Canis lupus familiaris: one gene and its partner. The protein of the gene in region 1 interacts with the protein of each later gene in a pairwise test. Links are inferred from orthologs where the notes say so. Each region holds a gene or a part of one and is shown on either strand. Other genes may lie near its edges. The genes, in order: BHLHE40 and COX5B.

What was found.
Region 2: the proteins of BHLHE40 (region 1) and COX5B interact in binary tests that used the Homo sapiens proteins (3 or more experiments, as listed by UniProt). The two-hybrid records come from large-scale screens. The link is inferred for Canis lupus familiaris from reciprocal best matches to the Homo sapiens genes BHLHE40 and COX5B.

The regions. Positions count from the first base shown.
Region 1 is NC_049241.1:12,720,869-12,725,247, reverse strand, and holds the start of BHLHE40 (class E basic helix-loop-helix protein 40), read left to right. Parts: upstream 1-1,500; 5' UTR 1,501-1,738; coding exon 1,739-1,818; intron 1,819-1,986; coding exon 1,987-2,056; intron 2,057-2,317; coding exon 2,318-2,425; intron 2,426-3,383; coding exon 3,384-3,507; intron 3,508-4,379. UniProt on the Homo sapiens protein: Transcriptional repressor involved in the regulation of the circadian rhythm by negatively regulating the activity of the clock genes and clock-controlled genes.
Region 2 is NC_049231.1:46,040,380-46,044,698, reverse strand, and holds the start of COX5B (cytochrome c oxidase subunit 5B), read left to right. Parts: upstream 1-1,362; coding exon 1,363-1,462; intron 1,463-4,319. UniProt on the Homo sapiens protein: Component of the cytochrome c oxidase, the last enzyme in the mitochondrial electron transport chain which drives oxidative phosphorylation.

The DNA of each region.
Region 1 (4,379 bases):
CAAGGGCAGCATCTGCCTGCTTCCCACCCCCCGGGAATCTCTGGCGAAGGCCACAACGCCCGGCACAGAGGAGGGGGCTCGACAACGTGGATCCACTGGACGGAGCCTAAGATTTCAACGTGATGGGCAGATAGTTTTTCCTGGTCTCTCTCCTCCCTCCCCGCGGTGCAGACCGCCAACAGCGCCGCCGAGTTCCCGGCAGGCTGGGGGGCGGCCCACCCCGGCGGGCACACCGCGTCCCTCCCCGGGCCCGGGGTCCGCGTCCCACGGGGGCGGCCGGGAGGGCCTCGCAGGCGGCGGCCCCGTGGCCCGAGCTCCGGCCACGTGAAGCGTCACGCCCGGTGCTGCCGCAGGGCAGGCGTCGCCGCCGCAGTTGTGTAACGTTGCAGCCGGAGGGGAGGCGACCCGGGCGCCTCTGCTCCGGAGGGGGCAGGGAGGGAGGGCACGTGGGCGCCGCGCCCGGGGCCTCTCCGCGCGGGCCTGGCCGAGGCGGGGCGGACGTGGGCCGCGGGACCCCGGGAGCGCGCGGGAGGGTGCGGGCGGCGCGGCTGCGGGCTGTCCCCAGCGGCCGAGCCCGGGGAGCCAGGCCCGCGGCGCACTCGCTCGGCGGTCAGGTGCGCGCGGCGTGCTCGGCGGCGGCCTCGGCTGCCCCTGCGCTTGGCGGCCGGCCCGCTTCCCATGGGGTGACATCCGCCCCGCCCCTCGGCCCCTCCCCGCGGCGGGCGATTCCTGGACGCCGGGCGCGGGGTGGGGGTGGGGGTGGGGGCGGGGAAGCCGGGACGGAAAGCAGCACCAGCCTCCGGGGAGGGCAGGGGGGCCGGGCGACTCCCTCCGCTGCGCGCCGGTTCCTCGGAGCCGGCCGGGCGGGGGAGGAGGAAGAGGGCTGGGCTGGAGCGAGCGAGGGGATATTCCTCTCCCGGCTTGAGTCAGACGCGGGCGGATCCGTCCTCCCCCGTTCCCTCCCAGGAGACGGGAACTTACTTCATTTCCCTGGGGCAGGTTCGCCCACGTTACTACCCCCCCCCCACCACCACCACCCGGGCCCGGCGGCGGCGGCGGCTCCCCGGCCCCTTCCAGCTTCCGCGCCCCCCGCCCGCTTGGGCAGGACCCAGGCCGCGCTGCCACCCCCTCTTCGGGGAAAGGCCGCCGCAGCCGCAGACACCTGGGGGCCGGGACTGGGGGTGGGGGCTCCCTCGCAGCCGCGGGAGCGTTGTCCAACACGTGAGACTCATGTGATGAAGCCGGGGGAGGGCGGGCAGGTCGCTCCTTCCCTCCCTGGCAGCGGCCAGACGTGCCTGGAGTCACAGGGTAGAACACGTAGCTCCAACCCACCCACTCGCTCCCATTTAACCCAGCCCGCAGCCTCTCCATTACTCCTCAGCTCGCCCCCCCACCCCCTCCGCCCAGCCGGCCCCCCCCGCGCTCCCTCCCGCCTCCCCGCCCGCCCCACTTCTCATTCACTTGGCTCGCACCGCGCAGACGGCGCAGGGAGCACACACCGCCAGTCTGCGCGCAGAGCCGGAGCCAGAGGCCGCGGGGACACCATGCACGCCCCCAACTGAAGCAGCACCTCAAAGCCGCAGCGCCCGGCAGCCCAAGCGGATTTCGGGGAGCTCAGACCCGGAGGAACCCTTGCGGAGAGACAGCCCCCCTCCCGGGAGCCCCTTGCAGGACAGTCCTCACCCCGACGTTCCGCTACTGCAGACGGGAGTGCACAGTGGCCCCGGCTCGCCGCGCCATGGAGCGGATCCCCAGCGCGCAACCGCCCCCCGCCTGCCTGCCCAAAGCTCCGGGACTGGAGCCCGGAGACCTACCTGGGTAAGTTGGCGCTCCCCGGCCCCTCCAAGCCTCAGCTCCGGCCCTGCGTTTTGCGCCGCTCTCAACTCGGAGCAGCTCCGGGCGCGTCCGGGGGCCTCTAACCCTCCAGGGCGCCTGCAGCCTTCGGGCACGCAAAGTCACGACCCTACCTGGCCCCTCTTCCTGCAGGATGGATTTTGCCCACATGTACCAAGTGTACAAGTCGAGGCGGGGAATAAAGCGGAGCGAGGATAGCAAGGTAAGACACACCGCGCCCCTCGGGACCCCAGCCCCAGGCGCGCGCGCTGCTGCCAAGAAAAGTTTTCGCACTTGGAGCTTGGCGGGGGGATGCAAGGTGTGGGCTCGGTGCTTCTGTGAAACGGCTTGGACGGGAAGGGGCAGAAAGTGGTTCTGGGTGTGACTCCGCGGCCCCAACTCTTATCGCGCCGCAGGGGAGGGGAGGAGAGGGGCTTCTCGCCCGTTTGCCCTGGCGCCCACCGCCTCCCCGTGCGCCTTGCAGGAGACCTACAAACTGCCGCACCGGCTCATCGAGAAAAAGAGACGTGACCGGATTAACGAGTGCATCGCCCAGCTGAAGGATCTCCTACCCGAACATCTCAAACTTACAGTAAGTGAGAAGCTGGCCCCGCTCCAAGCCAGCTCTTCTACCCAGAGGGCGGGCGGGGGTCACTCGCCGCCGCCTGCAGGCCCCACAGGGAACTGCAGACCAGATGGCCGGCGCGGGGCTGGCGGGTGGCTCTGTTTTGGGGTACCATTCCCCCCGGCTCTGGGATTTTTCTGGCAGCCTCATGCAAATGAAGTGAGAACCGCTTGGACTTCTCCAAGTTGGCTCCAACACCAACTAGCCTTCGTTTTCAAGAGTTTAGGTCTTTCCTTTCTGGTGATTTTCAGGGTTCTTTAGTTTTGCTGACTTGGCTAAACCAAGCAACACGCAGATTTTATTTACCCCCCTACTCTCGGCCATCCCCCTTTTTAAAAATAAAGAGGACTTGTTTGGGTGCGCGATTTTTATGTCCTGTCCTTTCTTGGCAGTAGCCGACAGCTTACTGGCTTGGCAGCGCTCGGTTGGGGAAAGGAAAAAAAAAAATAGTATTTGAGGAGGAAGTAAAAAGCCTGGATGAGCTGAAAGTTATGAAAGGGTGTCAGGAAAAGAAGCTAGGGGAAGCCTCTTGGCTGCCAGACACAGTAGAAGTCCCTCCTCAGGTTGACACCACTGCAGAGAAATGTTATCTCCGGATTCCCCTGAGTTAAGGTCAGCAGTGGCTGCTGGAGAAATTTATCTGTCAGAGCTTTCTCCTGATGCAGCCACCTCTTCCAAAAATGCCTTCAAAGATAAGTGACACTCATTTTTTTATTCTTCAGTCAGAAGTGTGTGCATGTATGTATACGGACACACACTTTTTAAAAACATCATCTCCAAATTTAAAAGTAAATATAGTCAAACAGGAAATGCTATTTCTTCCCTCCCCCCACCAACCCTTTAGAGATATGTCCCATTGCTACTAAGTGTCCCAGAGGTGGGACTTCTCTGAGCTCACTGCTGACTAAGGCTCTTTTTATTCCAGACTTTGGGTCACTTGGAAAAAGCAGTCGTTCTGGAACTTACCTTGAAGCATGTGAAAGCACTAACAAACCTAATTGACCAGCAGCAGCAGAAAATCATTGCCCTGCAGAGCGGTTTACAAGCTGGTGAGTGCCCGAGTCTGGTTATCATCACCTAAGAGTTGTAGCACAAATAGCCTCTGGGCTCAACATCTGGTATAAGAAACATTCCTACAACAAATTGCTTATGCACATTCGTTGGGGGAGATGTCATTTTATCTTTCCTAAAAGGTCAGACTTTTCGTTTGGAATGCTGCTGTGTGCCACCTGGCATGAATACATATTAGTCAAGTGGTAAAATATTTCCGTGGCATTTTGGTTTAAGGGTTTCTGGGTTCTGGGACATTTTCCCCCTCCTGTTTAAAATGCCAAGGCACCTATAATTTGTATCCTGGGTGTTTTACAGTTGGTCTTCTTAGTCCTCTCTCATTGGAGAGTAAATCATGGGTATGCCCCAGTGTTTTCCTGTTTCTCTACTTCCTTATCACTCTGTGTGTGGTATGATCCTGGCAGGTTGACAGCAGGAGCTTTTCGTACATTTCATGTGGTTCCCTGAATAGCCACTAGGTATCTTGGTGAATTGCACAATCTAATGAAACCACTGAAGTTTCATCATTAGTTTCTACTGACTTCCAGAGAATCACAGTCACCTTGTAACCTTCTAGTTTCACCCCTTCCAAATAATACTGTACAGGCTGGGGAGAAATTCTTCTACTCGCTCCCTCATTCCATTCTTCTTGCCCTTCTTTCCAAGACCCATGTGATGAGAATCCCAGAAGCCTAGCAAGTGCTTCTGCCAGCTTTCTTATTGAAAATAGGAAGATGATCGTACTTGATGTCTTGGGGCGTATAGATAGGATACGTGGAAAAGGCTTAGAAAGAGCTTTGAAATTTAAAGATTCCAGCACAATTGCAACTTTTTAAATTGAAAATAAGCTAACGTAGGTGACATCATTCCT
Region 2 (4,319 bases), on another chromosome or scaffold:
AGGGGAAGGGTGGCAATTCACATTTGCTCCTGTGCTGCCTCACTGGTTAGATTGGACAGCTTTTGTTTCTTACACACACACTTAGGTAAGAATCCTCCTCTCAGCCCGCTGAGCCCCAGCTACAGCCAGGCCCTGTGCTGACAGTAGTTCCAGGTGACCCATTTTGGATTTGTGGTATCTGCACAAAAACGTTTGATTTGTTCTGACCTGGCTTTTCAGCCAGAAGGGTCCTAGCTCCCACAAGCTGCAGGGGATTCAGCCACTTTATCATATCTTCCTCAGTCCTCCCCAGGTGGCCCTTGAGGTCTAGGCTATCCCTGGGTGATGCATGATCCCAGCAGGCCTGCACACAGCAACTGTCTCACCCCACCCAACACCCTTGTTATAATTAAAAATTGGCCCTACATATGTCTTTGTGAGTGGTCAGGGATTCTGTGACCCAGCCAGAGCAACTTAAATGCAAATTTAAGTCCCTTTTTTGACCCAATTTTTCAAGCTTGTGAAAACTTTGCCCAAACAAAGAACAATGCCTCACCCCCTTCCACTTTCTTGTGATAGATTCAAGGAAGAAGCCACATTTTACTCCCTTTGAATAGTGACCAGCCTTGGCCCAGGGAAAGGACTCAATATAAATAAGCTCCTTAACATTCAAAGAGTGTCTGCACGTCAATAAGATAAAGAACCTCCCCTCATAAGAATATGAATAGCCAATTAAAAAAGGTTTCATTTCTGAATAGGTAATACATCCATACAGTTAAAACTCAAAATAGTGTAAGAGGTCTGCAATGGGTCTCAGTCCCACCCCTGCCTTTGTGGCCCTGTTTCTCACCAACCACCACCACTTTCTCACCCCCACAAATACACAGAAGTAGCTACTTGTATTAACTTCCTTTCTTTTTTTTTTTTTTTAAGATTTTATTTAGTCACTTAGCACACAAGAGAACACAAGTGGTAAGAGAGGGAGAAGCAGGTTGCCCATCAAGCAAGGAGCCCCATGTGGGGCTTGATCCCAGGACTCTGGGATCATGACCTGAGCCAGAGGCAGCTGTGTAACCAACTGAGCCACCCTGGCACCTCTGTTAGCTTCTTTTGTATCCTTCTGGAGATCTTCTGGATAAACTCAAGCAACTGGGAATATATCGAATTGACCAATTTAAAGCCAGCATTAACTCAGCACTTACAGTGTATTAGGCAGTTCTGAGCACTTCATGAGTGTTAATTCATTTGGTCCTCACAACAGCATAAAGAGGTACGTCTTATGCCCGACAGAAAGAAAAGAAAACTGAGGCAAAAAGAGACTAAAGAGCTTGCTTGAGTGGCTAAACCGGGCAGTTCACAGCACAGGGAAATGCAAATGGCCTTATGAAGAGAGGCTCAGCTGCCTTGGAGGTCAGGGAACTGAAACTGCAAACACCAACAGCATCTTGTGTTTTATCCACCCAGCGGGCAAACTTTGCAAAAGGTGGGTAACTCACCTTGTAGAGGTGAGTTCTGGCACTCACATGCCCTACTAATGGGAACATGAATTGCTCCAAACTTTTGGGAAAACAATTTGGCAGAATTAATTGATGTTTAATATACACACCCTCCAAAATAGAAGGCTAGGTGTCCATAGACATGCACTGCAGCATTGTTTGATAGGCAAAAATATTCTGGATATTCATCAAGGGGGAAATGGGCAAATTACAGTAGATTTATAGTTGGAAATACTATGCAGCAATTACATATAATGAGTTAGATCTGTTTGTATTGATCTGTAATGTCCACAAAATATGTTTTTAAAAAGGTTTGTTTGACAGTGAGAGAGAGTGCCAGAGCATGAGCAGGGGGAGGGGCAGAGGGAGAAGCAGACTCCCTTCTGAGCAGGGAGCCCAATGGATCATGACCTGAGCTGAAAGCAGACTTTTAACTAACTGAGCCATTCATCTGCCCCCACAAAATATTTTTTAAAGAAGCAATTTACTAGTAATTTTTATAGTAATATATATTTTTGTAATCGATATTCACTTATATATCTGTATATTTTAAGAAACAGCCCTTATATGTGCATTTGTTTGAATATGTCTATATAAGCATGGGGCAGGGTAATTTTGCCCTCCAGGGGACAAATGGCAGTGACTGAGGACATTTTTGATTGTCACCACTGGGGAATGCTAATGGCATAAATGGTAAAAATCCTACAATGCACACGGGACTGCACCCCTACCCTGCAAAGAATTATCCAATCTAAAATATCAATGGTATTGAAGTTGAGAAATGCTGGTATAAAGGAAAAAATGGAAAAACACAAAACTGTTAATAGTGAACCTTTTCCTTAATTGTCACATATGTTTGACTTACTACAGTATGTAGTTATTTTGACCACTAAAAATAATCATATAAAAGCAAAAAAAAAATAATACTCTGAAAGTTTCTTGTTTTGGCAAAGACAATGATGGAGCAGGAATAGGGAAAACTGTTTATCAAGAAGACATTAGGAGTCGATATGAGCAAAGGGTGGAAGGAGCTGGAGACAGCAGGGAGTGGATAGGATACTTAGAGACTGGTCCTGACATCGGAGCTCACCTGCAAAGTCTGAAGAATCCCAGGTCTTTGTGAGCTGAATAAGGACCTGAAAAAATGTCCTATGATTAGGCATCAACCATATTTCTATTTCATAGGCTGGAGTGAACCATCTGTGGTCAGGCAGCAGGGAATCATAACAGCTCACAACTGCATTTCTCACTGGTCTGCTGAGACTTGGGTTAGGTGCTTCTTGGCAAAGAGTGGTCAATGAAGATAGAAAATCTCTGACATAAACCCCGGGTGAATTAAGCAATAACTATGCTTTTAATTTAATTAGGCTTTTGCTGCAGGCCTAATCAGAACCTTAATATGCTAGAATGTGCATCTCCAAGAGGAAGTTCATCAAATGCAGGACTTTCCAAGTCTTTTTTACCGAAAGCATCTACTGAGATTAGAATTCTGTGCAATACTTTTTGGGAAATACTAATCTAGTCTAATCAATTTTACTGATGAGAAAAATGGCCAGAAGAAAAAGTGACTGGCTAAGCCAGCTGATTGGGTACCATCCCAAAACACTTATATTTCAGACCAGTGCTTTTCCCCTAGCATTAAACATCAAACCATAGGTACAAATCAACTGTAGATTCTTGGGGAACATTCCTAAGATTTATGGAATTTTTAAAAAAAAATTTATTTATTTATTTATGATAGTCAGAGAGAGAGAGAGAGAGGCAGAGACATAGGCAGAGGGAGAAGCAGGCTCCACGCACCGGGAGCCCGACGTGGGACTCGATCCCAGGTCCCCAGGATCGCGCCCTGGGCCAAAGGCAGGCGCCAAACCGCTGCGCCACCCAGGGATCCCCTGGAAATTTTTTTTTTTCCAATTTAATTTGGAGCGGTTGCACTGGAGGTAAAAGAAGGGAGTCACACTGTAAGCCATTCAAAGAAAACCCACTTTTAAAGAGGAGTAAGAAATTTGCCTCAGAAGAGACTCTATATTTTTCTTGGTAGAGGGAGTGAAGTCCAGTGAAGACCAAATGTGCTTCTGTGAAGGAATGCTCCACCAGGTCCTTTTGAAAATGTAGCCTGCATGGGACAGATGGAAACACCTGGGACTTCAGCCCTCCCCAAGTTTACCTCAAATTGACCTCACTGGGCCAGTAGCAGCCCTAGAAAACTTGTTCTGTAGACTCTCTCCAAGAAGTAAATTGGCTAAAATTTACTTGATCCAATTACATGCTGGCCTTCTAGAAGCCACTGAGGATTCAAAGATGAATAGGGCATAATCATTGCTCTGAAGGGATTCTCCATCTGGTATGGAAACATACTGCACGGAATCAGATTAAGATAGGGCTGTGCTGACAATGTGAACCGAGTCCCAGCAGCCATGGGGGGGGGGCAGTGTTTAAACTTTTATTATTTTTTAAAGAGTTTATTTATTTATTCATGAGAGACAGAGAGAGAGGCAGAGACACAGGCAGAGGGAGAAGCAGGCTCCATGCAGGGAGCCTGACATGGGACTCGATCCTGGGTCTCTGGGATCAGGCCCTGGGCTGAAGGCAGGGGCTAAACCGCTGAGCCACCCAGGGATTCCCCAGTGTTTACACTTTTAAACGCCCACCCTTCTAAGAACCTTGCACACCTTGGCTTGTGGGCAACAGGAGCTATGAAAGATGTTTTCAGTATTAAACAGAAACCTCTGGCCCAGGTACCTTCGGTGACTTCATTTCCCATTCTCAGCTTCTCTTCTTGCTCTTTTTGTTTGTGGCAAACTATGCTCAGAGACTGAGATTGTATTTACCAATAATTTATTT